Arabidopsis thaliana: one gene and its partner. The protein of the gene in region 1 interacts with the protein of each later gene in a biochemical or structural test. Each region holds a gene or a part of one and is shown on either strand. Other genes may lie near its edges. The genes, in order: AN and SUB.

The links.
Region 2: the proteins of AN (region 1) and SUB form a complex in vitro, tested with the Arabidopsis thaliana proteins (one study listed by BioGRID).

Annotation. Positions count from the first base shown.
Region 1 is NC_003070.9:181,146-196,954, reverse strand, and holds AN (NAD(P)-binding Rossmann-fold superfamily protein), read right to left. Parts: upstream 9,811-15,809; 5' UTR 9,721-9,810; coding exon 9,133-9,720; intron 8,945-9,132; coding exon 8,779-8,944; intron 8,672-8,778; coding exon 8,541-8,671; intron 8,427-8,540; coding exon 7,635-8,426; intron 7,539-7,634; coding exon 7,491-7,538; intron 7,394-7,490; coding exon 7,280-7,393; intron 7,191-7,279; coding exon 7,119-7,190; 3' UTR 6,483-7,118; downstream 1-6,482. Other genes in the region: AT1G01540 (Protein kinase superfamily protein), read right to left, coding at 413-975; AGL28 (AGAMOUS-like 28), read left to right, coding at 3,293-3,604, 3,884-4,315; ASG4 (Homeodomain-like superfamily protein), read right to left, coding at 4,896-4,988, 5,066-5,175, 5,263-5,376, 5,480-5,614, 5,697-5,817, 5,957-6,014, 6,127-6,359; AT1G01500 (Erythronate-4-phosphate dehydrogenase family protein), read right to left, coding at 10,382-10,615, 10,946-11,695; AT1G01490 (Heavy metal transport/detoxification superfamily protein), read left to right, coding at 15,275-15,361, 15,533-15,608. UniProt on the Arabidopsis thaliana protein: Involved in controlling the equilibrium between tubular and stacked structures in the Golgi complex. Required for cortical microtubules (MTs) arrangement that confers cell shape.
Region 2 is NC_003070.9:3,714,345-3,731,878, forward strand, and holds SUB (Leucine-rich repeat protein kinase family protein), read left to right. Parts: upstream 1-8,363; 5' UTR 8,364-8,790; coding exon 8,791-8,881; intron 8,882-9,224; exon of another isoform or gene 9,225-9,258; coding exon 9,259-9,388; intron 9,389-9,485; coding exon 9,486-9,557; intron 9,558-9,722; coding exon 9,723-9,788; intron 9,789-9,879; coding exon 9,880-9,951; intron 9,952-10,034; coding exon 10,035-10,106; intron 10,107-10,185; coding exon 10,186-10,257; intron 10,258-10,331; coding exon 10,332-10,397; intron 10,398-10,494; coding exon 10,495-10,560; intron 10,561-10,643; coding exon 10,644-11,137; intron 11,138-11,233; coding exon 11,234-11,592; intron 11,593-11,682; coding exon 11,683-11,954; intron 11,955-12,027; coding exon 12,028-12,166; intron 12,167-12,249; coding exon 12,250-12,365; intron 12,366-12,501; coding exon 12,502-12,658; intron 12,659-12,771; coding exon 12,772-12,834; 3' UTR 12,835-13,106; downstream 13,107-17,534. Other genes in the region: AT1G11120 (CTTNBP 2 amino-terminal-like protein), read left to right, coding at 885-1,203, 2,162-2,235, 2,806-2,976; AT1G11125 (uncharacterized protein), read left to right, coding at 4,502-5,299; AT1G11145 (hypothetical protein (DUF674)), read right to left, coding at 13,188-13,292, 13,368-13,700, 13,772-13,822. UniProt on the Arabidopsis thaliana protein: Regulates the expression of transcription factors that define the cell fates.

The DNA of each region.
Region 1 (15,809 bases):
AGGACCACAACTCACAGGCAATGCAGTTAAATAAGAGAAGGACTCTGATCACGATCACTCTTAACCATCTACATAAATATCCACAAGCATTTACTTAATGGATCTAAGCACATTACATGACGAGGTAGAGAAACAGAGACAAACTTCAATACCAAGCAATACAACAAATAAAATTCTTTGATTACGCAAATTGCAAAACCCCCAACTGGTAATTCCTAAAACCCCAATCTAGAAACGAGTAAAGGAATCAAATCGGAAATTTGAGAATACCTAAATCCCTTATCTAGAAGTTGAGTAAAGGATGAATATTTAGAATGAAACCAATACAAAATCAAAGAATACCTAAAACTCAAATTGAGAAACAGAGTAAAAGGACCAATCTTTAGAATCAAAATTGAAGATTTGGAAGTACCTATTGTTAAGCAAGTTCTTGACGGCGACTTTGGTTCCATCAGTTAAAATGCCACGATACACAATCCCGTAACCACCTTCTCCGATTACATTCTCTTCACAAAGCCCATTCGTGGCCGCTTCAAGCTCTCTCAGAGTATACCATCGGCCCCATCCAAGATGCGACACCTCCGGCCCACAATTCCCGCTACCGGAATACGACGCCGTTTCACTTGCACTCGCTGTTCCTCTACTCTCACCACTCGACACTCGATCTGAAAACACCACTCGATGCTCGATCTTCCCGATATCGACCTGGATCTCCGCCGGAACAGACTGATTCTGCGCCGGAACGATCTCTTTAATCTCCTTTGAAATCGGCGGTGTAGCGATGGCGGCGGAGGCGAAATCGGCTCTCGGCTTTCGATTTTTCCGGCGAGAAGTTAAGCAGAGGGAGAGAAGAAAGAGTGCGATGACAATTAGAGATCCAAGTAAGATTCCGATCACGACCCATAGCCGGAGACCAAAAATCGATGTCGGTTTCGAAAGCTCTGTATTAAGGAAAGCAGCGTCGTACACCGACATCGTACTTTAACTTTTAGCTTAGATTCCGTTACAGATTCTTCCGGTTTCTTCGCATTCTTCGCCGGAAACACACAAAACTTTCCGGCCAAAATCTGGGCTTTGTCACAGCATCGAGTGTTGAATCGAGGAAGAACAAAACAAATAAAAAGATTAAATTGATAAAATAAAAAAAACGATAACGAATTTAAAGAGAAAGGCTTTGGAGTGATCTGTGTTGATGTAATTGAATGAGCTGTCTTTTTGAGTTCCTGTCTGAGTGTAATTGCATGTGTGGTGACGGTGAGAGAAGGTTACCCGAAATGTCTATTTTACCCTTTTATGGAAAGTGGAAGATAGTAGAGTCTTTTATATAGTTTTGAGGAGTTTTTTGGTAATAAATCGATGTCGATAGCCGTTGGGGTGGTATGATAAGGTACGGTTCAGTGCAATTAACCAATCTGTGGATTACACATTGGTTAGTTTTTCGTTCTTGTTTTGACTATAATTGAACCTTGACGTTTGATTATTTAATTGCAAATTTTATATGGATATAAACATACTCATGGAATAATTATTGAGTTTACTTTATGAGAAACTAATCACTTTTGTTATGGGAACATGAGTGCACCAAAAAATCATTTGTTTGCTTCTGATACACATTATTATTGGTTTGTTCATAAAAAATATTTGTTATATATATAGGAAGAACATTTTTTTTTGTTTATGTCACATTAACACACAAATCGGATTTCTCATATCATATATGCAGTAAGTAGATAAAAAGACTGAAACTGCAAGTCAAGGTGATGAAGAGCCTGATTATCCTGAAAGTCAATGTTATGAGTAATGTTGTATTGTTACAGTTTTAATGGTGGATAAAAAAATTGTATCTTTGACACGATGGATTGTGTAGATCATTCGTTGAAACTTCGGAGGTCAAATGTATTACTATTTCATAATATTTGTGTCTTCAAAAAGTTTGGTTGGCTCTTAAAAGTAGAGCAATTAATGAGAGAATAATATTTAGTGTGGCCACGTATAATCTAGGTTTCCTCCTAAAAAGGGTTTAGGTGGGGCTAAAAGAGAAAACCCATTATTGCTCCAAACAAGTAAATTTTGTAGTATGCCAATAAGTCAATGATCAGCGGCGATGGTTGGTTTAGACTTTAGACTTTAGAGTCGTTTGGAAGTGCAAGCTTATGATATGTGGTATTTGGGCTTTTTTAAAAGTAGATTCTGAGCTAATAAATGTTGTCTTTTGCATTTGGATATTTCATTACCTGGGCTAGAATTTGTTTTTGTACAAACTCTAGCTTATAGAATCTTACTTAGTTTTCCCTAATCAGTTTTAGTTTGGTTCCTTGTTGGGCTTAAGACTTGTAATCTATATGCTAGAATCTTTTACATACTTGACTATTGAATACCATTACCGACCAAAAAAAGGAACCCAATCAGATTTGATTCCCACCGATAAATTGTAACAAGAAGGAAAAAGATATAACAAGAAACATGAGAAGTGTATACATTTTTAAAAATTCGTTTTTCAGGAGAGGTATATAGGTTATAGATTATCAATATATCATCATCATGTATAACAAGCAATTAGAGGCAGAGAAACATAGCCCATTAGGTAACGATCATGGGCTATATTAATCACGGCCCAAAACAAATTGTGTAAAAGTATACTATATTCAGAGATGATATAACAAATTGTGTATCACATATTAAATCTAATTTAATTATCACAACTTTTTTTTTGAAAAGTCAGCGATCAATTAAAATATCAAAACAACTATTTACTTAAATAAAATCTTGGAAAGTCGGACATAAAATTTCAATCATGTCATTTATCAACTTTCAATCATATTATTTTGTCAATTTGCTCTATAAAAACAAAAGTAAGTTGGACATAATATTTCATATATACACTATATGAATTTTATATAAAAAATTTGAACACTTAAAATAAATATAAAAGATCAAAAAGGATATTGATTATAGAAAAATAGTGGAAAATAAACACATGGAAAATATTTTTTAAGAAAATTGTGGATATCCTTCCCATATTTTAAAAAATTGACAGGCTGTAAACTTTAAAAAATGATAATGTTGGAGATAAAATAGAATATTGTATACCTTTTATTGACGAAATTTGTAAACCAATATATACTCCTAGAGTGGTAATTCATAATTTTGTTTCTTATAAATCACTATAGAAAAAAATATTTTCTTTCAATGCTCAAAACATATTTTGTAAAATTTAGTCTATAAATACAAATACCTATTATCTCTAATATAATCAACTCGCTTTTCTTTTTCTGTTCAAAACATCTCGAAAATGGCGAGAAAGAATCTTGGTCGTAGAAAAATAGAGTTGGTAAAAATGACCAACGAATCAAACCTTCAAGTTACGTTTTCAAAAAGAAGATCTGGTCTTTTCAAAAAAGGCAGTGAACTTTGCACCTTATGTGACGCGGAAATTGCGATAATCGTGTTTTCACCCTCGGGAAAAGCATACTCTTTTGGTCATCCAAATGTTAACAAGTTACTTGACCACTCTTTAGGGCGTGTTATAAGACACAACAACACAAACTTTGCTGAAAGCCGCACAAAGCTCCGTATTCAAATGCTCAATGAGTCTTTAACTGAGGTAAGTTTTAAGTTTTGGCATTATCTAATCTTTATTTCTTCTCTCTTTTATTTTTCAATTTAGATAAAAAATTATTATATAAGTGTTTCACAATTTGTTTTTGATTTGTAAAAGAAATGGTAAACCTCCTTTGCATATTTATTTCCTCAACAAAGTAAATTAAGAATGAAAATTTTGGTGGGTTCAATTTTTGTTTAAGTCATAGTCATGGATTCACGGATTTTCTTTACACATTCATTATTCATGAAATTAATTGTTTAAAATACAATTTTATCTTAGGTGATGGCTGAAAAAGAAAAAGAACAAGAGACCAAGCAGTCAATAGTCCAAAATGAAAGAGAGAACAAGGACGCTGAGAAGTGGTGGAGGAACTCTCCAACAGAACTCAACTTAGCTCAATCAACTTCCATGAAATGTGATCTTGAAGCTTTGAAGAAGGAAGTTGATGAAAAAGTCGCTCAACTTCATCATAGAAACCTAAACTTCTATGTTGGAAGTTCTAGCAATGTTGCTGCTCCAGCAGCTGTTAGTGGTGGTAATATCTCCACAAACCATGGTTTCTTTGATCAAAACGGAAACTCTACTTCTGCTCCAACACTGCCGTTTGGATTTAATGTTATGAATCGCACACCAGCTGGGTACAACAGTTACCAACTCCAAAACCAGGAGGTTAAACAAGTCCATCCTCAGTATTGGGCTCGTTACTATTAGTCTATCTCTCTCGTTGTGTGACTTTTTAAGTCTCCAATAGTTTGTTCTGCTTTTTGTTTTGTTTTTGTTTGTTGTTGTTGTTGTTGTCGGGCTTTTAATTAAGTCTCGAGTCAACTAGTTTCTTGTTTCTTTTCGTTATACTTTGTCTTGTAGCTTTATATCATTTTCTTGTGGAATATGAGTAAGCTATATGAAGTTTCATATTATGTCATTAGTCCATTCCGTATAAAAACCTAAGCAACAACTGAATATTACAAAAAAGCTAGTGACTTTCTACACAGGCTTTATCTGAAGTAATTTTCAAAACTAGTTATGTCATTAGTCCATTCCGTATAAAAACCTAAGCAACAACTGAATATTACAAAAAAGCTAGTGACTTTCTACACAGGCTTTATCTGTCTTCTAAGACGTTCTAAACTATTGAGACTTATATGTACAACCGGTTCATTCATTCATATCCCATGAGACTACCATTAGAGACTTCTCTCTATCGTTTAGTTCTAACTGGCGTTGTAAGATGATATCAACTTCCGCTGTAATAAACAGAGAAAATTTGTTTACTCTTCAATATTCTCAAGAGTCAAAATGTAACAAAGAGTCGACTAGCTCTTACTTGTTCATCAAACTCGGGACTCGTCAGGTTTACAGATAAATTTTTCATCAGTAAGAGAACCTGTTGAACAAAAAACCGTGTAAACGTTAGTTTTCAAATCAAGACATGTTCATGTGCAGAGTTATTGGTTTTCATACCGTCTCAAGATTTATTGGATCCATTTCCTTTAATCTCTTGACATGACCTGTTGTTTTAGGATCAAACACACTTCCTATAAAATTGTAAACTTCAGCGAAATTTGGCGCCACTGAATTGAAAAACCAACATCAAACAAACAAACTCATAATCAGTATATGAATATCACAAAGTCAGGAATCTCAAGCAAAATTGTTACCTCTATGTGGCTTTCCACAACTTTCTTGGTCATTTGTCTCTGTAACGATTCTAGTCCTCTGCTTATCTCTACTACTACTAGTGCTGCAACAGTTCTCTGAGACACCAAATTCCTCTACAATCACAAATTCATTACCCCACATTATTAACAACTCAAACAAGCAATATCTTCAGATTATTACATTAGTCCACACAGCAAACTTAAGCACATATTTTACCTTTGATAACAGAACTTGGTATACTAACATCGCAATGCACTAATCCATGCTTACGGGTGGTGCTAATCACCGGATGTGAATTAGTGTTGTATAAGTAGTCATGTTGAAATAATGCGTTTGAAGAAGAAAGAGTAACTGCATCAAAAACATAACCATGAGAAAATGAGATAAAGTAACAAAAGCGGAAGTAGAAAGATAAAAGGTTTAAGGTTGCCACATTTAGGAGCTTTTTGTGGATATGGGTGATTGGCTTTCCTCTTTGGTCGAGGAGGTGGGAGATGTTCTTTAGTCCCATTCTTCTGAACTTTGAGAAAGTACTTCTGTGCGTGGCTTCGTATCTACAAAACCAATATTCTAGTTACTATCCAACATACATAGAACTTATATCTCCAATTCCACCCCAAAGAACAGAGTTCATAAAATTACTTATATGTAACTTCAGACAAAAGTATGGAATGCATATGTTTGATTGATTACCTGTATCACTGTTTTTGATCCAACAAAGGCCTTTATTTTCTTCCAATCCCGGTCAAATCTGCAATCAAATAGACATGATCATATCAGAAGAAGAAGAACAAATCTCAAAGATTCTATATATCATTAATCAGATAAATGAAGGCAGAGAAGTGAAATCCGTGTCAACATACAGATGAAGGGCTTCAAGGAACTTGTCGTGTTCTTGCTCCGTCCAGTTCTCTCTAGATTTGGTGATAGTGTAAGGCTTTCTAACCTTCTTTGTTGGATCCTCAAAAAACGACATCGTCCTATTGCTCCGTATGGAAACCGGTATCGTTGTTGCCGTGTGGGGAAGAGTATTGAAACCCGGTAGACTCATTTTCATAGGCAAACAATGAGCTTGGCTAGGGTTTACAGTCACCATAAAACTCGACAACACACACAAAGTTCCCTTTTGGTTTGAAACAGAGTTTGTGACTTGAGAGACTTGTGTGAGAGTGGTGGTGGTATAAGCGGGAGAGGGAGACAAGGTTAGAAGTGTAATCTCATTCGAAAAATGGATTTAAGCCGAACACGTGTAAGGAGCCGGTTGCTCTGGTTCAGAGCGTGGGACTAACAACTACAAGCCATGTGGACATTCTCCTAACACTCATGCCACGTACAAATTTAAATCCACGGCACATAAATTGCCACGTGGAATACGATCGTAAGCCAGCAATCTTATTTACGAGATAGCTGCCTAGCTGGGGCCTGGTTCGACTAAAAATGAAGGTTACTTTCTTTTGTAGTTTAGCTCAAATTTTAGTTATGTACGATGATGTGTTTTATGTACGATGATCTCTAAAACACAAACGCAGCATATACAAATACAATACACACACCTATTTCAAACTACTAACCAAACACACAATGCTTTCGAGTTCATCACGACCAGACCCAGAAAACAACAACAAACGTCCCTCTAAGACAAGCTCATCGGATGTTTCTGCAAACCGAGAATAAATAAAAAGAAACAATGATTACAGATATAAGTTGGTTGATACCAACTACACAACACACGACACAGTCTCGAAACACAAAAATTGGGTGTCTCTGTTTTTCGTCTGTGAATCCTAAGGATGTTAAAGTAACAAAAGTAATTAAAAGAGAGAAACTCACAAATGGAGAGACTCTGTTTTTCTTTTTAATCGATCCAACGTGTGATACCATCGTCTCCTACCATTGCCAATATCTCCACACGAACGTCCAACACCGCCTGCAACATTCATTACACAAATTATTTCTGTTTTCCAAGAAGTAGGGTTTTTCAATTTCGGGCCATTTTCTGTAAGGACAGAGACTTACAGAGGAATTCCTGCAGTTAACAAGCCGACATTCGTCCAGAGAACCTTCTAGACTCCAACTCTCCCACACGTCAAAACTATGGCTAGCAAACACAAACTCCATTCTTCTATTGATCTGCACACACACACACCCATGACACAACCACTTTTAGATTCCATAAGAGCAACATTGAGTTACCAATGGAAGTAACACTCTCTAATGTAAGAGCTACCTGCAGTAACTTCCCACCAGCAGCAAATGATCTCAGACCAACAGTGTCCTGGAAAACAAGTTCATGCACCAAAACCAATTTATAATGGTCTATCTGGCATTGTAAGCAAGATAAATGAAAAGTAAGAGAGAGAAAAAGGTTTACCTTGTTTCTGTATGCGATAATGAATTGTGCAGCAGGATCTCGTTTGGATACATTGGACAAAGTATCGAGGAACCAGCCACCGTTTTTCGTTCTTTGCCTGGAAACGTGGAGGCCCGAGAGGTCTTTCGCATACAAGGCTACTACATATCCATCTTTCAGTAGCTCACTTGACTTTCCAATGAACTTCTTACTTGACATTACAAGCTGATTTGGGGAAGACTCTTGCATTACTTCAAGAGGTGTTTTCCTACTTCTGGAATCTTCAGGAGAAGCACATCTAGAACTGGAACTTAATACTTCTTCTGTGTCACTCATAGCAATATCATCTCTTCGTGAAGTACTTTCTTCATTTAACCCTGAGGAACCATCCGTTTTTTGCATGTATTTTTGCTGTGAATGTCTCTTTTTGGCTTTCTTACCGGATCTGCTACGTCTTCCTTCAGGTTTTACGGCAGTATTTTGAGAAACGTGTTGCTGACCAGGGCTCAGAGATTCTTTTAACTCACTAGCCTCTCTACGTACGATCTCAGTGCTGGTGAGAGTACTTTCTCCCTGTTGCCTACTGGTGGATTCCACTATTGCTAATTTCTCGTGTTTGCTAGGTGATTGTTCTTCTTCTTCACTTGCTTCACTTTCCTCAACTTCCTCATCAGAAACAGTGTTACTTGGAATTACACCATCTAAGAAAAATGAATGCAAGATAGAGATAGCCTTCTCCCTTATCTCCATCCATACTTCCTCACTGTAATCTGCACTGCGAGGTAGAATTAACACATTTGGCATTTCCTTCACCTGCAATGAAAACAAGATATAATGGATGCAGGATAAACAACAGAAGAAGATGATGAAACAAGAGAATAGGCAGGCGCAAATGTGAAGTTTAGTCACTGGAAAAGAAAGTCATACCCATGCTTCCATCCATTGTGGACCTTCAGCACCGTCAAGGGCGCAGCCAGCTATAGTGCCATCAATTAGAAGTTGTTTCACAGCACAATCATCCAACAGCTGGCAGCTTCCAGTATTTACAAGAAAAGCCCCTAATACATAAAATCAACCAGAATTGAAGGGAATGCGAGAAAGCAGAAGTTCATCTTCAATTCACATTCATGGAGAATCAAATTTCATTTGACAAGAAAACTCATACCAGGTTTTATATGCTGCAAACACTCTGCATTGAGTATCTGAACCGTGTCATTTGTTAATGCACAATGTAGCGAAATGACATCACTTGCTGCTAGAAGATCATTCAATGTATCCATTCTTCGAGCAGCACGTGGGAATCTCGAGGGCCTGATTCGTTCTTCATCTCCCTGAACAGACGCAAACGCAACTATTGACAACAAATATAACATCCAAGGGAGAGGAACTTGAAAGAGAGCCATCATAGTAAGCAGTTTAGGAATGTAGTAGCTAAGAACTCAGCACTTTTTTTGGTCCCTAAAGAGTCAGTTTACACTAAGATATTAAAAGCTTAGCGAGACATTGCCAACAAACATACCTCTGGGACATCGAAGTAGAGCACACTCATCTTGAAAGCCAAGCTTCTACTAGCTAAATACCGAGCCGATACAGATCTGCCAACGATACCCAAAACCATACCACGGCACCGTCTCATTCCCCGGCAAAGAGGCTGAAGCGATCCGAGCCAACCAGACGCCGATAGAGCGTGTCGCGAGAGTAAATGCGTCCGTCGAAGGAGTCCAAGGATGAGCGCCATGACGGTATCCGCGATTTCCTCGGCTCGTGAAGTATCTACATGGACAAGTCGGAGACCTAGGTCGGCGGCGAGAGTCGAATCGACAGCGCGATCAGCAGAGCCAAGGCAGAGAATGAGCTGGTGAGGACGGAGTCGGCGTTGAGCTGCTCGTGGAAGATACGCGAGGGAATGGAGGAGAACGGCGGTGGCGGACTCGATCTTACCATCGGCGATGCGGCTGAGCGGGACGTATTCGACACCAGCAACGCCGGCGAGGGAGTCTTGCTCGAGCGCACAATCCTCTATACAGTTGAGTGTAACGACGTGAGGCGACGCCGGTGACGGCTGGTCGCGATGTGGCATTGTCGCAGACGAACGGATCTTGCTCATCTCCTCCTTCTTCTCGCTACTCTCGAGGAGTGAAATTTTGATTTTGGGAACATAATGATTTAGGGTTCAATGTTGTAAACTCTTACAAAATTAAGGGGCTAAATTTCATTTATAATAATTTTCAGGGCCCAAAATACAATTTAAACAAATTGACAATAATTTTTTAGTCCAATGCTCATGCTCCCCCGATAAGACGTCATCGGTTTGACATTTATGATAAACGACGCCGTCTTCCACTTGGCTTGTTGTAATAATTTAATTTACTAATTGCAAACAGATACTGAATACAGGTGAAACATGTACATTCCCTATTCCACATTATTTCCTGACCAGAAACCGAAAGACAAACTCCAGCGTTTGACAACAACAACAATAACACGAAATCTCTTTCTACACAAGAGCAACGACATAGACAGACTTGAGAAAAGAAAGAACAAAAGAACATGACTGGAGCAAGATGGGAACTCTCTTTTGTGCTACTAAAGTATATGAACAGAGCCGAATATATATATATATTCAAAAGGACACAAACAGGTGAAAACCAAAAGCTCTATACATCTATCTACCAAAATTCTATCTCTTTTATAACCCACTACGTTACCGACATTCTTAGTAGATCTCGAAATGTCTAAGTGGGTTTTTAGTTTATGGTAGGTGATGATCAGAGAAACCTCCTACGAAGGTTACTAGTTGTTGCTTGATACGAACGCATGAGTAATCCAACTCCAATGCCTACACCAAGACACATCCCAAGGCCTATCCCAACTCCGACTCTGACTCCTGCATTGAACCATGAGAGCTGACCATCCTCATCAACGTACATTCCTTCAGGGTAATATCTCTGTGCCATTTTCATATCTGAGTCATCGTATTCATCAACTTCTGATTCCATCATCTGCATAAACGAAACGACAAACAAGATAAAGCACCAAAAAAAGTGCAAAGAGAGTCTATTGACCTATATCCATATCTCAATTTCTGATCAGTCAACAATTCTACAATTTTCAAATTCAGCTGTAGAGTCAAAGAAAACATTCAAGCAGGAGCTAAATTCACCAGAAACTTGCGAGTGATCTTAATAACTAAATATCTGCTACAGCATTCATAACTCACAAAACTAGACGAAAGAAGCAACCTTTTCAAATCTCAATCCCAAGTTATTAAGAATCGTAACTTAAGGGCTTGGACAATCACCAAACAGAGAATTGTGAAATCAGAATCATACCTGTACTTTGCTTTGACGGGCCAATTCATCACCAATGGTACCAATGTCTTGCTCTTTGCCAACTTCCTCATCCTCAGGGATAGCGTCGAGTGTCACGTGCCTAGCCACCTTCCTCCTCGGACTCGCCTGAATCGTCTTGGTCAATATCACCGGGACACCACCACAACAACCAGCTATATAAACCTCGACGGACGGAGACGAGACTCCAAACTTTGGCTGGAAAAACACAGAGGCAGAAGGACCTGACACGTGTCCGTTTCCCATAGCAATGTAACAATCCATGCCCCATCCAGTCTTGGGATCACTCACAGTTCCATTGTTCCAAGCACCTTCGATTCTATCTAGGTTCCCACACAAGACCATATCCTCGTTATCATAAACCTCGAAATCAACGCATCCGGTAACGCGAACGGTCTCAGTGCTCACGTAAGTCACCTCCGACGATTCCCGGTCGACTCTGTCACGGCGGAGTTTAAGCGACGCCGTCTGCGACGAAGGAACGCGAACGCCGTTAACCTCAAGAGAAGCACCGGTTTCGCGACGAGGGTGACGGAGGGTGAGGAAGTCAGGGACGTTCTCAACGACGCAAGGAGCGATACGGACGTAGAACAAACGAACCTCCAGCCACGCCGATTGCGACAACGAAATTGATGATGCCGGAGACGGCGGCGATACGGTGGAGGTATTCATGTGGTACGATTTGGTTGTACCCAGAGGATCCAGATGATGAAGGTGATCTTTCGAAATCATCGAGAACGATTAGATTCAAGAAAACCTAAATTCGCAAATCTGGATTTGATGAGAAAATTGAAGGATTTGAGGAACAAGCAGAGAATGAATGAGAGGAGGAATCGAACAGGAACTTTTTTGTTTGTTTGTTTGTTTGTTGTGTTTAGGTTTTTGAGGGTTTCAGATATTTTCGAAGGTAAAAAAAGGTCAAAAAATTATAATTTGATTGAAGACGAGGTAATTACGGAGGGGTCAAAGAAGAAGAAACCGACAGGATAAAATACCCTCCTCACCTGTGAGATTCGCACGTGTGACAGTTTTTTTTGGCTTTTTCCACACAAACAAAAAAGGTTTAATAACTGGGCCATCAATTCCACACAGTCCGTTAAATGGGCTTAAATCATATGGACTCAGCTCAATTGCTACAAATCATGTTAGACCACTTTTTTTTTTCGTCAACTACATATGGTTCTTTGCAAAAAAGTTATGGATATATATAGTTTTGTATAATTGTAAAAAGCAGACCACATTTAGATCTTAGTAAATAATGATTCAGAAAGCAACATCATTTTACTCATTCGGGTCATTGACCGTACGGAAATTATTAATTTTAATCATAGCTATTACATTCTTTAGTAGATGTTCTTTTTCTCAATGGTTTAAGAGAAAATTTATCAGCTGTTGAACTTTTATCCTTGGAGGATTCCTCACCGTTCGATTTTAGATCTTGTCGGAGAAATTGGACTAACTTTGGATATATATTTATAGGCCGGCTATAATGTTTTCTTCTTCATCCTCTTTTTGTTAACACCGAAAAGATTGGGGCTTGTCATTTCACTTTCTAATTACTTAATTAGGTAGGCGAATATAATCATAAAGTAACATTCATATATAAGATTAATCTGACATCAATATTTAATTAACGTTTAGCTGAAATAAAGATTTTGCAATTCATGTGTATGTCCGCAACTCAAGATCCGTGTCGGAGGTTTACTTAGTTGATTTTATGTCACTTAATTGCACCACGTAGCATGATATTGATCGTATTTTAGATCCTCCAATTGTAAGATTGGTTTTACTTTTTTAATACATTTCGTAATTTTTAGTTAACATTTAATTCATAATCATATTTTACGCTGACGATGGACTTTTTTACTATTTAGAGGTTAATTAACTGATAACACGCTTTATTTTGCCTTAGATTATATAGTGTGCAATTATGATAGTGAACTAATTAAAATAGTTAAGATAACTATATTGTCCCCAATTGTACGTGTTTCCACATATAAAAACACTGTCTGATATATTCTTAAGTAGCATTGTAGCAACATCATCACTTTAATTTTAAGATAAGATTAAAAAAATATTTTAGATAATAAACTGAAAGTTAACAAAAATAGACTTTAATTGTCAAAAACAAGCAACTCCATTAGTAGCAGCTTCAAATGTTTTTATAGAGCATTTTCAATTTTGGTCAAACTATAAAGCAAAAGTTTTTATAGAATTCTCTTTTTTTTTTTTTTTTTTTGTCAAAGTTTACCAGAAAATAATAAATGAGTACTTAGGTCAAATTGTGTTTACTCTTTGATTCATCGCCAAATTACTACATGCAATGCAAGTCCTCTGAAGGCTTAGAATCGACGGTCCAGATCAGAAGATGAGGATGGTACGATCAACGTAAGGGTAAGAATTGACTATTAAGCCGCCTTTTTTTATAATAACAAAATACATAGAATTTGTACATCAGAGTAATAGGTCCCACATCCCACTCTAAGTGGCCCAGATTTACACAAATCTCATCACGTCTCGTTTCCTCTACTCGCAGTTTGCTGCGTGTTCTCACGCGCTAGCCAAAAACACAATCCACTTGTATATATATTTCGTGGACGTCAAATATTAAAGAGAAATAATAATTAATCTACGTGGGCAAACACGTGGAATATGCAGCTGTTTCCCACTACTAATGTATGTTTTTTTTTTTTTTGTGTGTGGCTTGGAGAATATTATTTGTCTTTATTTAGAGAATCAAATTCGTGTAGGATTGGCAAACCGATGGTGGGAGCGAGGACTCAATTATTAGACAACGTACTTCGTATACATATAACTTGAGAAAATAAATCAATCATAGAATGGAAGTTTATATATAAAAATGCAATAAGAAATATTGACAATTTGAGTGTTTCAATATTTTCTTAATGATTGTATACATTATTTATTTCCTACAGTATGTTTTTACCAACAAAAAACAACCAACATTTATATTATAACTAAAGATATTTATTTCGTATTAATCGATGGATTGGTGATCAAAAGCAAAAATCATTTACAAAACTATTAAAAATTTGAGTTTTATTTTTGATAAATTCTTTAATAGATTTTTTCTACAGCATGTTTTTATTCGGCTGAAGCCAAACATAATATTATCATGTGCCAAGTAAAATAAATGATATATATATATATATATAGAGCCAATTAGATGCATAGACTGATAAACATAACAGTTAAAATATAAAGTATTATGATTTGAATGATTCGAATTAAGTTTAGATAAGCATACCTAATTAAGGTGTTGTAATAAGTCTCTGGACACCATTGTATGAAAATGACAAAATTCGTTGATACTCCCGAGTGGTGTAGTATAATACAACAAACTCATACTACTATATTCTGGTCCCTTAAAATACAAAAACGAAAAACGTATTTTATCAAAAAGTAGGAATTCGATTTAGATAATAAAAGAAGAGATGACGTGGATAAGGTGAGAAAGAAATTTCAAAGGGTCAGAAAAAAGGAAACAAACACAAACCAAAGGACCGAAAGTAATGACGCTGAGCCACAACACCACGCGCCTTATCTCACGCGCATACAAGCAAAGACGAAAACAAAGAGATCTCTTCTCGTCGCTCTCTCTCTCTCTCTTTCGTACCATTCATTCATTCATTCATTCATTATTGAGAGACTACTGATCTCTCTCTCTCTGCATGCATCTTTCTCTCTATTAATCTCTCCAGTATTTGTCAGGATTTGGGTATTTTTTTAATAACGATCAGTGTCCAATCTCTCTTATCGTCTTCATAAGTTTCCTATTATTTCATTCTTCTTCTTCTTTATTCTCATTTCTCTCTCTCTCTCTTTTTACTCACAGACAAATCTTTTTCACATCTCTTTGCAAATTCTTGAGAATTCATTCAAGTTACATAAAAAGCTGAGAGCAATGAAGGTCGATCTCTCTCTCTCTCTCTCTTTCTTTACACGTATGCAAGATTTGATTCCTCGGATTAGAGAATTTCTATAAGAAAAAATAGATTTTGATTCTTGAATCCGAAAGTAAAAAGCCTTTTTCTGTGTTTATTCGTTATTAATGAACCTCTCTGAATTTATTCCTTTTTGCATTACTTCATGTGCGAGTGTTTATTACATGTGATTTGCTTCTTTTGGAGTTTTTTCTTCTTAAAGAATCTCACTTTTTAACTTATTCTGATCCTAATTGCAACGAAACTCTTCTTTTTATTTTTAATGATTTTTTTGTGTGTGGCTGAAATACCGTTTTAAGGTTACCAGTGAATTATTAACAAAATCAAATCAAGAATCATAAATTGAATGATGAGTATGCCTCTGCTTTTGCAAAACTCTGTTTCTCTACTATATATGTTCACACAAATACACATGCACGTCACTCTGTGTGTGGTATGTACACATATCATTAACTTTTTGGTATCTTCTTTAAAATCTGCAAATCTCTGTTTTTCTTGCTCCTCTTCCGGATAGAAAAAAACTCAAAAATCAAAGATTATGTCATCTTGGTGTTCACATCTCTTGATGATTCTAACTTGTTGATCTTTTGTAATAATTTTGCAGAAAATTGTGTTAAAGCTGGATTTGCATGACGATAGGGCAAAACAAAAGGCCCTTAAAACGGTTTCTACTCTCCCAGGTAATCATTTTTCCATGCTCCTGTTATATACAATGTTGGTCATCAGAAACAAGTCGCAGATCTCTTGCTTAGTTCTCACTTCTAAACCTCACCTCTATATAAATGGTTTCCGGTCCGATTTAGTCTCCGATTTGGTAGGTAGGTGTAAACAGAGGGAAAAAAATGTGAAAAATTTCTTTAATGTTGATGAACAATCACGAG
Region 2 (17,534 bases), 3.5 Mb from region 1:
GCCGTTCCATCATAAATACGTGTTTTGTAAAGTTTTTACTCGAGTTTTGCTCTTTTACCTCAACATTTATTGTCGATATTTGCATGTTTTGATACCAGAGTTTGAATTCAATGAGAACTTGTGAAATGTTGAGGTTTGAAATGGACTTTGGTTACTTCACAATTGTTTATTCAGCTCGACGAGACTTTTTTCAATAATATTTCATGTAAATGGGCCTGTACTAAGATTTCTTGTGCAAGATCCAACACCAACAACACTTGATGAGAATTAATCAAACAATCAGAGAAAACATACATTAACCTAATTAATACCAACATTAGAGACCACTTAGCTCGTATATCTATCATCAAATACGAGGAGAGATTAAACCAAATTGAGAGGAATATTGTTTCCTGTCTTATTCTGGTTTTAATTTTGGCTTTGATTGGTGGAAAAAAAGAACTCAACGTAATCACTTTTTTATGCTTAGACATGCAGTGTTAGTGTATACTTTAGGATTAACTAATTACTGTACTAATTAAAAATAATGATCGAATCACGCCTGTCTTTAATAGGTAACAAAGTGTTGATCGTGGCTCAAAGATTCTGCATATATTTTCTTAATTACTTTAGTAAACAAAAATTCACTATTCTCCTCTCTTTGTAAGTTTTTCGAGAAAAGCTGAGCAATAAAGGACAACATGTGTGTCCCCGAAAAGTTACAATTTTTTTCCTTTCTTTTTTAATTTCTCTTTAAATCCCAAAACTTTCACTTTCTCACATATTAACCCCACTTGCTTCCTCTCTTCCTTCTCCTTCTTCATCTTCTTCCCTCATCTCTCTCTCTTCTCTGTATCAACCCAAAAACGAAGAACATTGAAGCTTCTTTACTTTCTCACACATAAATGAGAGACCTTGAGCACTTAAAGACGAACCTCAACCATCAATGGCCACCTATCGGAGCTCCGATGAATCTCCGGCGAGAAGAGCCGTGGAAATCTCAGTTCGATGACTCAGTTAACGCTGTCTCCTTTGGATTCGTCGCAACGGCTATTCTCATCTCTATGTTCCTCGTCATGGCTATCTTCGAGAGACTCATTCGTACAACCACTACTTCAACTACTAACTCAGATTCCTCTTCAAGTCGGGTCCTTCCGGGTATGGATTCTCGGGTCGGGTTTAACGGTGCTGCTACTAAACTCGGTTATCAATCTCCCAAGGCAAGTACTTTTTCACTTTATTCTTCTCTAAAAATAATTCATAGAATAAAGTTCGTAACACACAAATTCCTTAATTGTCGCATTATTGTCTACTTACTGTTAATTAAATGTTGACACATTTTTGGCTAATCTGATTTTGACACTTAGATGTTAAACTTTGGTTTTAGATGTTAAAATTATTGTTTTTCCTTAATAGCTTCGAAATTTGTATTTAGTGAAGCAAATGTTGGTTAAAGAAGAAAAAAGCTCGAGTCTTTTTGATTAATTATGGCTAAAGGTTGCAATTTTAATTATGGAGTAATTTTTGATTTGATGTGAACACTTCATACCAAAAGCAGAAGGAGAAAACATCAAAAAGTGTTGATTCTGTGTACTATTTGAGTATTGAAAGAGACCCAACATTGCACATGCTTATACATCATCAAAATTAAAGATGTCTCATAAGCTTCCTTACTCACACATGCAGACACTGTTGATTGTGTATATATATGTATGTATGTATAAATGGTGATGCATTCATTGATCTCTTTCGTCATTTTAGAATTTCTCTGTTTTTCTTTTGTCCTTCCTATTAATGAATGACGTAGGAGACAACAAAGAGGTGTAATAAAGTTTCGTTTGTTGAGGATTGATTCGTTTGTAAGTATTGATGTCGACGCGTATAATACTAACTATGCGTGTTGTAGATGGAATATGAGGTCTAAACGTCAATGTCTGAAACCATGTGTGCCTGATATTTCCTAGGAACACAAATGGCCCCACAAGTTTTCTTGAAACCTAACATTGCTCCTATTTTAGAGTCTTTATTCTTGTTTTTCATCTTCTTGAGTAAAGGTTACATAGTTTCATGTTAGTTGTAGTGTTTGCTTGACTCTAACCTCATAGAAGACTAGAAGTAGGACAGAGTTGATAGCCTTATTTGTTGAGACTGATGATATTTCAATCTATATGTGAACTTGAAGGTAATAACAGAATTGTGTTTTCTTTTTCGTTTAACATTTTAAAGAGTGAATTATTCATTGTCATAATCTTGAGGGTAATAGTTTCTTGGAGAGTTCTTTGTTTCTTATATCCTTAGTTGTAAGGTTTAGCTTGACTTTGGTACTCATGTCTATTGAATCCCACTCAAGATAAAAACTTGAATGTGTTCTAAGAAATGGTATTAAACTTGGATTTAGTTCTTTTTCCGGATATTGATTATTGATGAGAGGCTCTTGTTACACACTTACACCTTATGTTGTGTTAGATACAGTAAATTTAATTAAAAGACTGATTGACAATTATAGATTGATATGAGATGGATATGGAACAAACCATGTGTTGAAAGAGTAGATAGAACCATTCAAAAACATGTGAGGACCCATAAATGGTAAACTTAAGACCAAGTGTGTTTCGCCCTTTTCTTCATTCTAACCTGAGTTGCTGTTGGGGAACAATGACACATGTTTTGATCTGTCATTGTCTTCTCCCACTCAAAACTCTCATTTGCTTATGATTTGTTATCTACCTCATCAATCAAAATTCTTTGAGAGAATCTCTGCTTCTTCTATGTGTTGAATATATGTTGTGTTGTTATTTATGTGATTTTTTTTTCTTTGTTTTGCAGATGACTGTTTACTCAAACGGGGTATCTGTATTGATGCCAGGAGATGATATCCCTACGTTCATTGCTCATCCAGCTCCCGTGCCTTGTCCTCCTCAAAACATCTCACAGTCTCAGCATCAACATGGCTCATCAAAGGATTCCTCCAGCTCAAACTCCATTCAAGAATGTTGAAGATTGTTTATTTATCTCCATCACCATTCACCATTTGGCTTATTTAACATTTGAGCGACCAACCACATTTAGTTTGAGTTGAGTTTGGCATCAGATGTTTTTGTTTTCTTGTATTGTTCTGTTTTTTTTTCTCTCCTGATGATTTCGCTACATGGATTGGGTTCGGGGAGATTATTTATCTGCATTTTGTGTAAATAGCATTAGGATCAAAAACTGGTTTATGCCCTTTTAGCTTATAGCCTTAAGCGTATATTCAAGATTTGACTTGGGTTTATTTTGTTTCTCTGCTATTTGCTATTTAGTATGATGACTTGGTTGCAGAGAAGAAAAGAGAGAGTGTGTTATTTTTTTCTCTCTAAGATATGGAACTTTCTGTAAGTTACATAACTCTGAACCTGAGGTCATGTGGAGCTGATTTATAGTACGTTTAAACAAGAACTTGGTTATAAATCTCAATATCGGGAAATTGTAAAACTATATGTAAGAAGATGCAGACGATTTTATTTATTGGAAACTCATGCTATTTTTTCTGCCAGTGGTAGTTTTGGATCGAGATATGATTAGTGGATTAGGTTTTCAATGGACTAGAGATCTTCATGTTAGTGAGTGAAGAGTCTGAAACGTGTTGGGATTTTGGAATGCAGACATAACTCTTTTGATGTGCAGTCACCAATCAATGTGGATTTCACTGTTATGTTACTAAGGTAAATGGTATATACAGTTTTCTTTTCGTCTAGTCATGTGAATGGTACTTGTGTCATATGTTGTACTAGAATGATATTTAGGAGAAGTTGACTCATACTAGTGTTTGGCATGTGTGAATTCGAGAGTGTACATACATTTGCGTCACAATAATGGAAATAGAAATCATAATTTGATGAACGAGTTTACCAGGGGAACCAGTATCAGAGTCGAGATTTCACCTTTGGATTGACTCGAAATCACATTCAGTCATTCACTGATGAAATTGTACTTTTTGTCAAATGTCATATGTACAACTATATGAAATATTAACTTGTACTGTTTTACACGTTCAAAATCACACAAATCATAAGAAAATCTTTAGACCATGCAAATCACACGGAAGCAGTATTTTTGTGCATAACAATTATACTGGTCATGTTTCTTAATTTACTTCGACTGTAGTTGTGTAGTTAACGACTAAACGCATTGGTTCAACAAATTATGTAAAAAAAAACTTAACTCTTTACTGTTAGCTTTTTCTCAATAAGACATTTTAAATGTAAAAAAATCGACTAATTTACATATGCTAGAGACATAGCTAGATTTTGGTCTGCTTTTTCAGGTTACAACTATTTCTTCGTCATAAAACGTTTTTGGTTTCACTGTTATAGATAAATAAATATAAAATTTTGGTGAAAGTAATTAGTTTCTCACTAGTCTAGAGCAATCCAAAATATTGCCAATAAATACCCAAAAACTCTCTCATCATATTCACTCTGCTGCAATCACACAGCACCAAAAAGAGTTATCTGCTATCCACTTAACGACACCGTTCTCTGTTATGGGTTGTTGCCTCAGCTCCGCCACCGCCGACAAGAAAGATGATCCTGTCTCCGGCAAGAACACCGCACGGCCTCCATCTGTTATCGATGAAGAGACAGTAGTCAAAGAAGTCTTGTCCGAAACCACATTGCTCACTTCCTCTAACGACAATTCGACGGTGGAGAAGACTACGTTGACAAAGATTCAAGAAGAAGAGGAGAAGAAACCCGGGATTGTTGTCGACGTTGCTCAAGAACCGGTTTTGACCAAGCCCAGTTTGGTTGAACCGGAAAAAGGATCGGAGGTTTCGGAGAATTGTAGTTTAAGCGAGAGTTTGCTTTCGATCGTGAATAAGTACGACGAGGAAGAAGTGAAGCAGATGAAATCTCATGTAGTGAGACAGAGATCTCCGGCGAAATCTCGGAACCGGGTCATGGTTAGTTATCCAAACCGGAGAACCGATATGTCTCCACGTAAGAGAAACAACGAAGAAGAAGCTGGCTCGGTGAGGCTGGTTCCGTCGGCTACGGGTACGAGAGACTCGACTGAAAGATCCGAGAGAAGGTCTAGATCGCCGGCGATGAACAGGTCCGTCATGATGGGCCCAACTCGGAGTCAACAGAGTACAGACAGTTGTGGAGCAATGAGGAGACAAAGCCAGTCTCCGGGTCGGGTCAGACTCAATCCGAATATGAACGGGTCGGATCAAGAGTGTAATCATCACAAGTGGCCGGGTTCTATTGGAAATTACAATTCTGCCCCTAACGACTCGTTTGAGAACCCTCTTGTTTCATTAGAGTGTTTCATCTTCCTATGAGATAATGTATCTTATTACCGAATTATCGCCGGAATTTACAATTTCGAAGTTATTTGATCTTAATCAGTTTTCACATGCTTCGCCAGTTCAGAATCTGTTTGGTTGTGGATTTTGAAAAATACTAAAATGTTTTTCTGTTTTTGATTATAAAAAATGAGAAATTAAATTGTATGATGTGTGAGTAGGGTGGCAAAAGATTTGCTTCCGTGACACCAATTATTATATATTTTCTGACAGTCAAAATCAGACGCAAGCAAAGTCACGTAACTTTGACCCCAAAAAGAAAGTTACCATCATACACTAAATTCAATTCACTATGATCGTCCGAACCAACAAATTTCAAATAATGTATCATGAATATTTGAGTCTTCATCTTTTATACTCAAATAGGCTAAACTTATTAGTAATTTATTTATTGTATTATCGTCTAGAACTAATCCACGATTTGAATATGCTGTGTGACTTATAAAATCAAAGAAAATACTTAGTTAACATAAGTGTATTGGTTTAGTTTTTTCCTATATTAATAAACCAATACTCTTCTTTATTTCAATCAAAATGTAGTTCTTTTTTTTTTTTTACATCAAAATGTAGTTCATTTATAATTGGTTTAAGACTTGATTCATAGTGTAAAAACAAAATAGTTATTTAGTTTTACATGAACCATTAGTAGGTTCTAGTTTGTGTATAAAATAGTTTATTTGTTCTACAGCCTTACTTAACTATCTTAGTTTATATTCAATCGTGTAAAACAAAACTGGGATCCTTCCTTTTTGGTTACCATAGGTATGGAAGTAAAAGTATTTAGGTGTTGTTTAAAAAGTACAAAAATTCGATTTTGTGGTTTGTCTATTAGTAAATCATTCAAACGTTTTTTCTTTTTTTTTGATAGCAATTTTATTATTATTCTTTTTACTTTTATAGGCTCATCTTTTGGAGAGAGCATTGTAAAGATTATGCTTTTCTTAACGCTTTCTTGTTTGTCCTTTTGCACCCCACATCACACGTTAACTAATTTATTGGATGAATGTTGAATAATTTCCGCCGAGAGAAAAAAAAACAGGCTTCAATAGTTCTGTATCATACTTCAAACTAATTTAGAAAGTTTGAGTGTATCATACTTGTGTATATTGGAAAATGAAAATGGAACGAGACAATTCAATAGTTCTGATCAATTTAATATTTTCAAAACGATCAAGTGCATAACAGCAAATTGTATCCAAGTATCGTCTAACAAATTCTTTTAAGTTCTTTTTTTGACTTTTCATAATCTATAGAACTTTTTCTTTGAAGCTTCTTGATGTAAAATGGTAGGGCGGAAAAAGCTAGGGTGATGTAAAACCAAAACTTGAACCAAAATTCGTGTAGATACGTAACTAGATTTGATTTAAATAAATAAAACATTCGTTATGTGCCTTGGATCCTCTGGCTAACGGGTGACCATAAAGTAGTGTTGCATTCTTTAATTTTGTTTCGCCTTTTGCGTAATGAGAGACCATATTATAAAATAAAGCCTAACTTTACAATATCTGTATTTTTTCCTCGACACTCTTTTTTAAGAGACCAATAGTTTGAATTCATTATCATGCATCTTCCAATCTCATAACTAATTTGGTATGCATGTATAAGTGCTACAATCATTATTATATGGGGTTTCTGATTTTTTGAAGTACAAGAATCAAAATGAATCCAACCTGATTGGTGTAGTTTTGGGTCGAGTTCGGTCGAAACAAAAATTTGATTCGGTATTATTTATTTGATTTTGGTTCGGTTTATTATGGTTGGCACTTGGCATATTGGTTTTGAAAAAAAAAAATGTTATCATGTACGATTTTTTTTGGGTGCAAAAAAGCATCATGTACGATAGTTTTCTACTTTTCTTCAAAGATTGAAAGTAACCGTTGCAATCTCATTGCATTATTAGGCCTACGAGAGGTATCTTCTTTCAAGTGGGCTTTACCATTACACTATTGACCAAGTTTGGGCCACATTTGGTTTGAATAGCCCATAAGAATGTGGTTTTTTTTTTTTAACTAGTCGCAACTTATTATCGTGTATGGTGTGAACTTGATTGATTTTGACAAGCCAAAAAAATCGATTGATAATTAATTGATCTCGACAAAATAAAAATCTAATATCAACACATAAGCTCACCAAGCATGTTTTATTCTTTATTGATCATACAATGTATGTTTGCTGTTATTATTCGGGTTGCAAATAATTTATGTGAATATCAGAACTTCAGAAGTAACTCCTACCAAAAAAGGAACTTGAGAAGTAATCACATATGAATATCGAAGTTACTCTCATCTCAAATTATGCAATGATGGCATTCCATTAAATTACTACTATTGAATTGTACACAAATCCTCCATCACATCAACCAACAAACAAAGAATAATACAAATTAAGAATATATTCCAAAGAAATTGATAAATAGTGATTGTTAGTTGTAACTGTAAACACAAAACCAGAATTCTTAATTATTAATAGAAAAACAAAGGTTTCGAATGGTAACCAAAATGCACCGTGCAATCATACATATAACATTAGTTAGTTATTTTTAGAATATATTGAAAAGATAATTATTGTATAATTACTAAGTATATTCAATTTAAAGTCGTAAGAAAAAACCCTTTATTGGCTCTAATTGTTTAAAAACATATATTAGGATTCACTAAGATGTATAATTGAAATCAATTTCCAAACCATGTAAAAGTACTAGTTTTCTCAAATAGTTTGTTGCTATTAGTTTGTTACTAAAACTAATTCACACATTTTTATCACCAAAAGAGCAAAAATGGACGTGGGATGAATATGATGATATTTTTTTTGACCTTGTTGTAGGGTCTCTCACTCTCTTCTTCCATTAAAGAATTCTCAGAGCTTTTCTTACTTCAACTGTTTTCTTGGCCCATCTCACTGAAATAAGTGTGATAAACTCTGCCTGTTACATTATTTGGATTTTAATAGGTGAAGTAACGGAATATGTAATCTACATCAAAATAATATTCACTTCTATCTCTCTACCTTATGGCATTAGAAAAATCCAATTATTACATGAAAGGAAACTATAGTAATTAGATGAAGCATAGAAGCGACAATTAAAAGACATAAAGAGAGACAAGTCTTGGCAAGTTTTCTCTGTTTCACACTTTGGAGACGAAACCTTAAAGGCTTAAAACTGAGAAAAACAAAGCCGTTGGCTTTTGTAAGCCGCTCGTTCTTCGAGACAAAACACACTACACTCTTTCTCTCTCACTCACTCTTCATCTCTTTTCTTCTTTCTCTCTCTCCTAAAAATCCGACGAAATTATGATTCACTTTACCTTTTAATCAGGAATATCCCTGTTTCACCCTTCTTCTTCTTCTTCTTCTTCTTCTTCCTCGTGTTTTTTTTCCATAACATTCCCTCTGAATCTTCGTTTTTTATTGGAAAGAAACAATCTAATCCAAGTTCAAGGGTTTTCTCATCTTCAGTGGCTGAAGTTATGAGCTTTACAAGATGGGAAGTGTTCTTTGGTCTCTCTGTTTTAGCCTTGACAATGCCTTTCTCAGCTGGAGTTACTAATCTACGAGATGGTAATAATCTTTCTCTGCAAAGTTTTTTTTATTTGGATTTTGCTTTGACTCTCCTTCTTTTGGTTTAGTGAACACTCTAGATTTTTTTTAGACTTGTGTCTAGTGAAAATGACTTACATCAGTTTTAGGGTAAACTAGGTAAGCAATATAGCTGTTTGGGAAGCTCCAGATTGGCAAAGTTCTATGATTTTGAGGCTACCTCAAAAACCCTAAAAAGTTTAGGTTTTTGACACATAAGCTCTTGTTAGGGTTTTAGTTCAAGACCAAGAAATTTGTTCTTATTGTTCTTCATTAAATGGTTATCATAAGAAAGATTCTTTAATCTCTAGAAATTTTACTTTTTGATGTGTTTGTCTGTTGTTTAATAACTTCTGCAGTTTCGGCGATTAATAACTTGTATATCACTTTGGGAGCACCATCTCTACATCATTGGCTTGCTTTTGGAGGAGACCCTTGTGGAGAAAAGTGGCAAGGTGTGGTGTGTGACTCCTCAAACATCACAGAAATGTATACTTCCTCTTCTGCTCTTGTAACTCTTTGTTATGGTTTGCTTTGAGTCACCAATTCAGGTTCTAACCACGTGAATTATTGTTGTTGGCTGCAGAAGGATACCTGGCATGAAGGTAGGTGGAGGCTTAAGTGATACTCTGGCTGATTTTTCATCTATCCAAGTCATGTAAGCAAAGCTTCTTGTCTTGTTTTCTTTCATCTTCATCTTTTGTATGAGGCTTCTTGCTATGTGAAGAACATGCAAGATGTTGTTACCATTGACTATAAGGTTTGGTTATAATCTTGAATTGCTTTGTGATACTTTTTCTCTCTTCTTTGTTTGAGTGGACAGGGACTTCAGTAGCAATCATATTTCAGGGACAATTCCGCAGGCTTTGCCTTCTTCCATCCGAAACCTGTGCGTTTGAGAATTGACTATGTGTATGGCAATACTTATGTTTCCAACAGTTAAAAGACACTTCATGTTTGGTTTCATTTTCTTGTTTCAGATCTCTCTCAAGCAATCGCTTCACTGGGAACATTCCCTTTACATTGTCCTTTCTATCCGATTTGTCTGAACTGTAAGTCTTTATTAATGTAGATACCGTTTCTTGCATCTGCGGTTTTTCCTCTGTTTGAAGCAGACTCTTTCTTTTCCCTTCAGGTCATTGGGAAGCAATCTTCTATCAGGAGAGATACCAGATTACTTTCAGCAGCTATCAAAACTGACAAAACTGTATATTTCCTCCTCACTAAGTCTCATTTTGTATCCTCCCATCAGCGTCTTTCATTTATACATTAAGTTTCTAATGCAGGGACTTATCGTCTAACATACTGGAGGGGCATTTACCTTCTTCCATGGGAGACTTAGCTTCTCTTAAGATATTGTAAGTGCACATATATGAAACCGTATACAAACATTGTTATCATTGCTTTTATATGTGATGTGGTCGGACTGTAGGTATTTGCAGGACAACAAGCTCACAGGAACACTTGATGTTATAGAGGATCTTTTCTTAACCGATTTGTAATCGTTTTTCACCTTGCATACTCTTTGTTCTTGACTCTCCAACCATTAAGCCAACTTCAGTATCTCACTATGGCTTTTCATATTTTTGATTCAGGAATGTAGAAAACAACTTATTCTCGGGACCTATACCGCCAAATCTATTGAAAATTCCAAACTTCAAGTAAGTATTACTAAAAGAAAACTTGAATGTTTTTTTTTTCCTTTTCTTTAGCCATTCATGTTACATTGTCATTATAACCGCAGAAAAGATGGAACTCCGTTCAATACATCGATTATAACACCACCGCCTCCGCCTGTGGTTGATCCTCCTCCCGCTACTCACCGTGCTCCTCCTGTTCCCCGTATCCCTCCTGTTTCTGGTGTTCCCCCAGCACCTTTTGCTCCTTTTGCTCCACTGCAACCACAACAACATCCACCACCATCACCACCTCTGGTCTGGTCACCACCTTCTTCTGATAATGGAGGAGGAGATCCCTGGAACTCTGTGTCAGGGCAACCTACCTTGCAAATATCACCTCCTTCAGGTTCAGGATCAGGAAAATTCTGGTCCACTCAAAGAATCATTCTAGTAGTTTCTTCAGTGGCCATAATTGTTCTTGTATCCGGTTTGTGTGTTACACTTTGGAGATGTTGCAGAAGTAAAATATATAACCGATATTACAGTGGAGCTCGTAAAGATTTACAACGACCATACTTCAATAAGCCTCCATCTCAACCAACCCCCACTATGGGAAAAGGTACACTGATTCTTTTCCTTCCAAGAAAAGAAAAGAAACTTGTGCTTTGGCTCATTACCTAACGGCAAACTGCTGTGGTGTTTTCTTTTGTTGCAGTTTCTCGGGAGCCTATGGTTAAGCCTTTCGATGGATATGGAGCTGGAGACAGGAAATATGGGTATCCAATGCCACAGCGGGCTGAAGAGAGCCGGAGAGCAATGCCTCCTACTTCATATTATAATAAGGATGTTAATACACCTCAAAAGCCGCTGCAACAACCACCGAGGCAGTTCCAGTCCAATGATACTGCTTCAAAGAGAGCGGCTCATTTCCCCCCGGGCTTGAATTCCTCATCTTCTGCTACTGTTTTCACCATTGCTTCACTTCAGCAATACACAAATAATTTCTCAGAAGAGAATATAATCGGGGAAGGGTCGATTGGTAATGTCTACAGAGCTGAGCTTCGTCATGGAAAGGTGTGACACTTTCCTCTTATTTGTCATTTGGTCTTACAGTATTTTATGCTGTGCATTCTTATTTACGTCTTGACACGTTGTGATCTATAGTTTCTTGCGGTGAAGAAGCTGAGCAATACCATCAACAGAACACAGAGTGACGGCGAATTCCTCAATCTAGTCTCCAATGTGTTGAAGCTTAAACGCGGTCATATATTGGAGCTTCTTGGTTACTGTAACGAGTTTGGTCAAAGGTTACTTGTGTATGAGTACTGTCCTAATGGATCACTTCAAGATGCACTACATTTGGATCGCAAGTTGCACAAGAAGCTCACTTGGAATGTACGTATAAATATTGCATTAGGAGCTTCAAAGGCATTGCAGTAAGTTAAAGAACCTCAACATGTTACGCCAATCTATATTTGGAACATATAGGATCTTAGAGTTTGGTTTCAGGTTTCTTCATGAGGTATGTCAACCGCCGGTTGTTCACCAGAATTTCAAGTCTTCCAAGGTTCTTCTTGATGGAAAGCTCTCAGTACGTGTTGCAGACAGCGGTTTGGCTTATATGTTACCACCACGCCCAACGAGTCAGGTAAATTTGTCATCTTATTTTGAAGATCCCAAACATAAGAGTGAGTGTTGTAAAGGATATGATGTTTGCTTATAAAATTGTAGATGGCGGGTTATGCCGCTCCTGAGGTTGAGTATGGAAGCTACACTTGTCAGAGCGACGTATTTAGCCTTGGGGTTGTAATGTTAGAACTGCTCACTGGACGCAGACCATTTGACAGGTTAGCTACTCTAAAGAGACAACTAATAGAAGCCATAAAAGAGTCTGAACTCAAAAGTCAACATGTTCACTTATGTTTCTTATGCAAAATCACTGTACTACACTATCTCAAGACAAAACCCTGTTTTTTTTTGCAGGACAAGGCCGAGGGGACATCAAACACTAGCTCAGTGGGCGATTCCTCGGCTTCATGACATCGATGCGTTGACAAGAATGGTTGATCCGTCATTACACGGAGCGTATCCAATGAAATCATTGTCACGTTTTGCAGATATCATATCACGTTCACTGCAGGTAAACTTAACTTCATTCATCACTTAACTAGATGAGAAAGCAATGTCAAACACGTGACATCAGAATATTAACTAACCCTTTTGACTTCTGTGCATGCTTATCTTTGTCTGTAGATGGAACCAGGATTTAGACCGCCGATATCAGAAATAGTCCAAGATCTTCAACATATGATCTAAGATACACAACCTTGGACTAAGACGCAGAAGCAATAGTTTATTGTCAGATTCTTGTTCTTTGTCCTTTGATGAATGAAAGTATTTCTTTTGTATTATAATAACACTTTATGTATGTTGTTGGCTGTATGAAATGAGCTATGGGATCATCATTATGTAACCCCAATCCCATTACCGGCTCAAACATTATTCACCAACCTGATCATGTATTTAGATTCTATTTTCTGAAAAGGATAAACATTTTTTGAATCAAAAGACATTAAAATTCAAGAACAAAAGGTTGTACTTAACAGTAGTGTAAAAGAGAAGGTAACTTGTTCAACTAGCACTGTAGACAACAAAACCTAAACTTCAAATCAATCTGCTCCACAGAGGGCATGTGATTGATGCTTTAGAGTCGTTTCTCTGAAAGAAAGCTCCCGAAAGCCGTAGTCAAGGCAGTGGATGTCACGAATGAGGCTCTTAGTAAACCTATGGCCTGGATTAGTGTCAGATTCAAAAAAAAATATCAGGAAAGAATAGTAATATAGATATACATGTGTTTTGCCAATGTTGATTTCATGCTCAAAAATATCGTCCAAGTTCACATCAAACTTCTTCTTTACGCAAATAGTAAGATCATCTGAGACAATGTATGTTGCCCCTCTCTTAACTAACCCATTGCTACCATGAGGTGTCGACTGAGAACTACCGTCACTGTTTAAATAACTGACCCCAAGCAACGGTTTCTGCAAACTATATTGCCAAGGAAGCATACATGTGTTAGTAGATGCATCTGTGCCTCCCCTAGAGCTCAAGTCCTTCAAGCTTCTACAAAAGTTGCCAATGCATACTAGGTCGATATTGCTTCCAGTGATTTCCCATACAGACTCCAAAGGGATAGCAAGGAAAATGAAAAGTAGATCCACAAAAAGTCGTGTCCGCTTTCAGCGTCAAGAACCTTCATGTCCTGCTTCCTAGCAAACAGAGTGAGTCCCTGCTTCACCTCCATCTTGCGCGGGTAGCTTTGGCATGTCATGCCAACGTGTCATACCACAAGAGCTATGCTTCTTCATCATCATCAAATTGTGGAATCTCTGATCTATTTATGCCATTACGTTTTCGCACTCTCCGATCTATTTATGAAATTTTTGAATCCAGGTTCTATCTCTGCTTCATTGCTTGCTCTCTTCGGAAACTCCTTTCACTGATGTCTTTTTGAAATTGGGCCATCTAATTTTTTTGCATATAGGATGATCACTACTTGCCATAATTGCTCAAATGGCTATAGAAAATGTAAATTCTTACTGATGGAAAAATATAAACGAGAATTAAATGAGGGATCTAGAGAATTATGGGGGTGTTAAAATAGCAAATCTAATATTATTTAATTATAAATTTTAAAAGGTCTAATAAAATCTAATAAAATCTAGTGTTATTGAAAGCTTGAAAATCTACTCAAAATTTTCATGTCCTTGAAAACTTAAGGATTAGATTTTTAATGATTGTAAGAGATTTTTAAATCTTATGGCTTTAGGTGGCATTGTGGTTTTGAATGGTTTCCTTAAATCCACCCAAAATCATAAAAACATAGAAAAACTCAATTTACCTCAAATCACTCAAAATATAAGATTGAATACACCCCCTTAAATGCTTGATTTTGTTCCTTTTATCCCTTTGAGATATAAATATTTGCTCAGCAGAGAGAGATAGAGGCAATACTATTATTGATGGAGGAGGCAGAGAATCGAGTGGTGATTGCATCATCAACACAAAGAAAGAGAAAGAGAAGAAAGATAAGAAGAATAATAAAAAGAAAAGGTTAGATCAAAAATCAGCTCATGGACTGCAAGAGCACTATCGTACGCAGGCCGCCTTACTCTCATCAAATCAGTACTTGTAAGTATCACCAACTTCTGGATATCTGCTTATCGATTACCAAACAGTTGTTTAAAGGAAATTGAGAAGATTTGTGCGGCTTTTCTGTGGTCTGGACCGGATCTTAATCCCAACAGAGCTAAGATTGCTTGGACCGAGATTTGTAAGCCAATAAATGAGGGAGGGCTGGGAATTAAATCACTAGTAGAGGCAAACAAGGTTAGTTGTTTGAAATTGGTATGGAGGATACTATCCAAATCAGAGTCTTTGTGGGTTACTTGGATATGGAAATATCTCATACGAAAAGGGTCATTCTGGTTGGTTAAAGAGAGCTCCAATATGGGTTCTTGGATGTGGAAAAAGCTATTCAAATATAGAGATTGTGCCAAGACTATGCACAAGGTGGAAATTAAGAGTGGCAGCTCAACCTCTTTTTGGTTTGATAATTGGTCACAGTTGGGCAGATTGATCGATATAACAGGTCCTCGTGGAGTCATTGATTTGGGTATTCCTCTCGATGCAATGGTTGAAACAGCTCTACATCCTCGACGGCGTCGAAAGCATCGAGTTGACGTTCTCAACAGAATTGAAGCTGAGATACATACTACTCGCCAACGGATCAGAATAAATGAGAAGGACATCTCGATGTGGAGATTTGTGGGAGATAAGTTTAAGACAACTTTCTCAACAAAGTTCACTTGGAATAATATTAGAGGCACACATCCAACAGTGGTTTGGTCGAAAGGTGTATGGTTCTCTTACTCTACGCCCAAATACTCATTCTTAACGTGGCTTCCAATTCATAATAAATTAGCAACAGGGGATCGAATCAAGAAGTGGAATACGGGGCAGCATGTACACTGTGTCTTATGTACGAACACGGAGGAGACGAGAGATCATTTGTTCTTCTCCTGCCCATACTCCTCAACGATCTGGGAGAACTTGGCACATCGCCTTCTTCAAACAAACTACTCATCAAATTGGCACCAGCTCACCGCAATGCTTCACAACACAAGCACTCCCCGGCTCCACCTCTTTCTGCTTCGTTATGTCTTTCAAGCTACTCTTTACCATATATGGCGCGAGAGGAATGCTAGACGACACGGCGAGATACCTACCACAACAATTCGACAAATCAAGCTAATCGATGGAACCGTACGGAACCGTCTCAGCACAATCACAGCCACTAGCAACCATCGTTACAAGGATGGCCTGCAGCTTTGGTTCTCCACACGCTCGTCCTCTTAGCCCGAGTGTTCTGTTTTTCTATGTCAAACTCTGTTTCTACTTCTCTTCTAAATTTCAGCATGAAGTAGCATTTATTGTATAAACGTTTTTTGTTTGAATATAATTTTACATTCTTTCAAAAAAAAAAAAGAAAAAAAAAGAAAGAAGAAGAAGAAACGAGAAGCCAGTGATTGCTCCATCATCTCTGCCAAATGACGTCGTAGAGGAAATCTTCTTACGATTTCCAGTGAAAGCACTATTTCGACTCAAAACTCTCTCGAAACAATGGAGATCGACGATCGAGTCTCAATCCTTCGAAGAGAGACACTTAAAGATCGCCGAGCGATTCCATGCACATCATCCTAGGGTTATGGTGATCACTGAAAAAGATCCCCTAAAACTATTGCCTCGACCTCGTCCAGACGCAGACATTGGTTTTAGGTTATTCTGCTTGGAATCGGGTTCTCTTCTATCCTTTATTCTTCTCAATTTCCCTCAAAGTTTCGCCAACTATATCTACGTTTCTGGATGCTGCGATGGCCTTTTCTGCGTCCATTCACCGAGATCGCAAGCCATGTATGTAGTAAATCCGGCTACACGGTGGTTACGACAACTTCCTCCAGCTAGGTTTCAGATTTTGATGCAAAAGGCCACTTATAGAGATTGGTTAGACATGAAGTCAGTCTTTCATCTAGCATTCGTGAAGGCCAATGATTATAAATTAGTGTGGTTGTATAATTCTGACAAGTACAATGCTGATGCCTTGAGTCCAAACGAGGGAGTTACAAAGTGCGAGGTTTTTGACTTTAGGGCAAACTCTTGGAGAGACTTGACTTGCACTCCAAGTTATCGGATATTTCATGGCCAAATACCAGCATGTGCAAACGGGTCAGTATATTGGTTGACGGAGCCATATAATGATAAAATCGAAGTAGTGGCTTTTGATATTCATGCCGAATCATTCCGGTTGCTGCCTAAGATCAAACCGGCTATTGCTGGTTCAGATCCGATGCATATTGACATGTGCACTCTGGATAATGGTTTGTGCATGTCGAAAAGAGAACCGAATACGTTGGTCCAAGAGATTTGGAGGTTGAAATCATCAGAAGACTCATGGGAGAAGATTTGTACTATAGATTTGCTTTCATGTTCTTCTTCCCGGACTCAGTTTCGTGATGAATTTTACTGGGACGAGCAGGATTTGGTTAATCCATCCACACCTGTGGCGTTATGCAAGAACAAGACAATTTTGCTCTCACATCGCTATTCCCGCGGTCTGCTAAAATATGATCCCCTAACAAAGTCTCTAGCTTCATTTTACCAACGTCCTTTGTCTCGGAGAAAAGTTTCTTATTTTCAAAGTTTAATCTCTCATATCTAAACAAATCTACCTACTGATTTTGACGTGTTTGGAAGAGACGAGAAGAGCTTTTCTTAAAATATATACAGTATTGGGATTATACATGAATACTAGCCAAAACAAGAAGTTAGTGACTACTAAATAATGAAAGCAAAAAACAATCTAAAACTATTTTACTATATCACATAATAAAATTGTACTTTTCAATATTCATAAAGTACGTTTGAGTTGATTTCAGATTTTATGTCAATCAATCTGT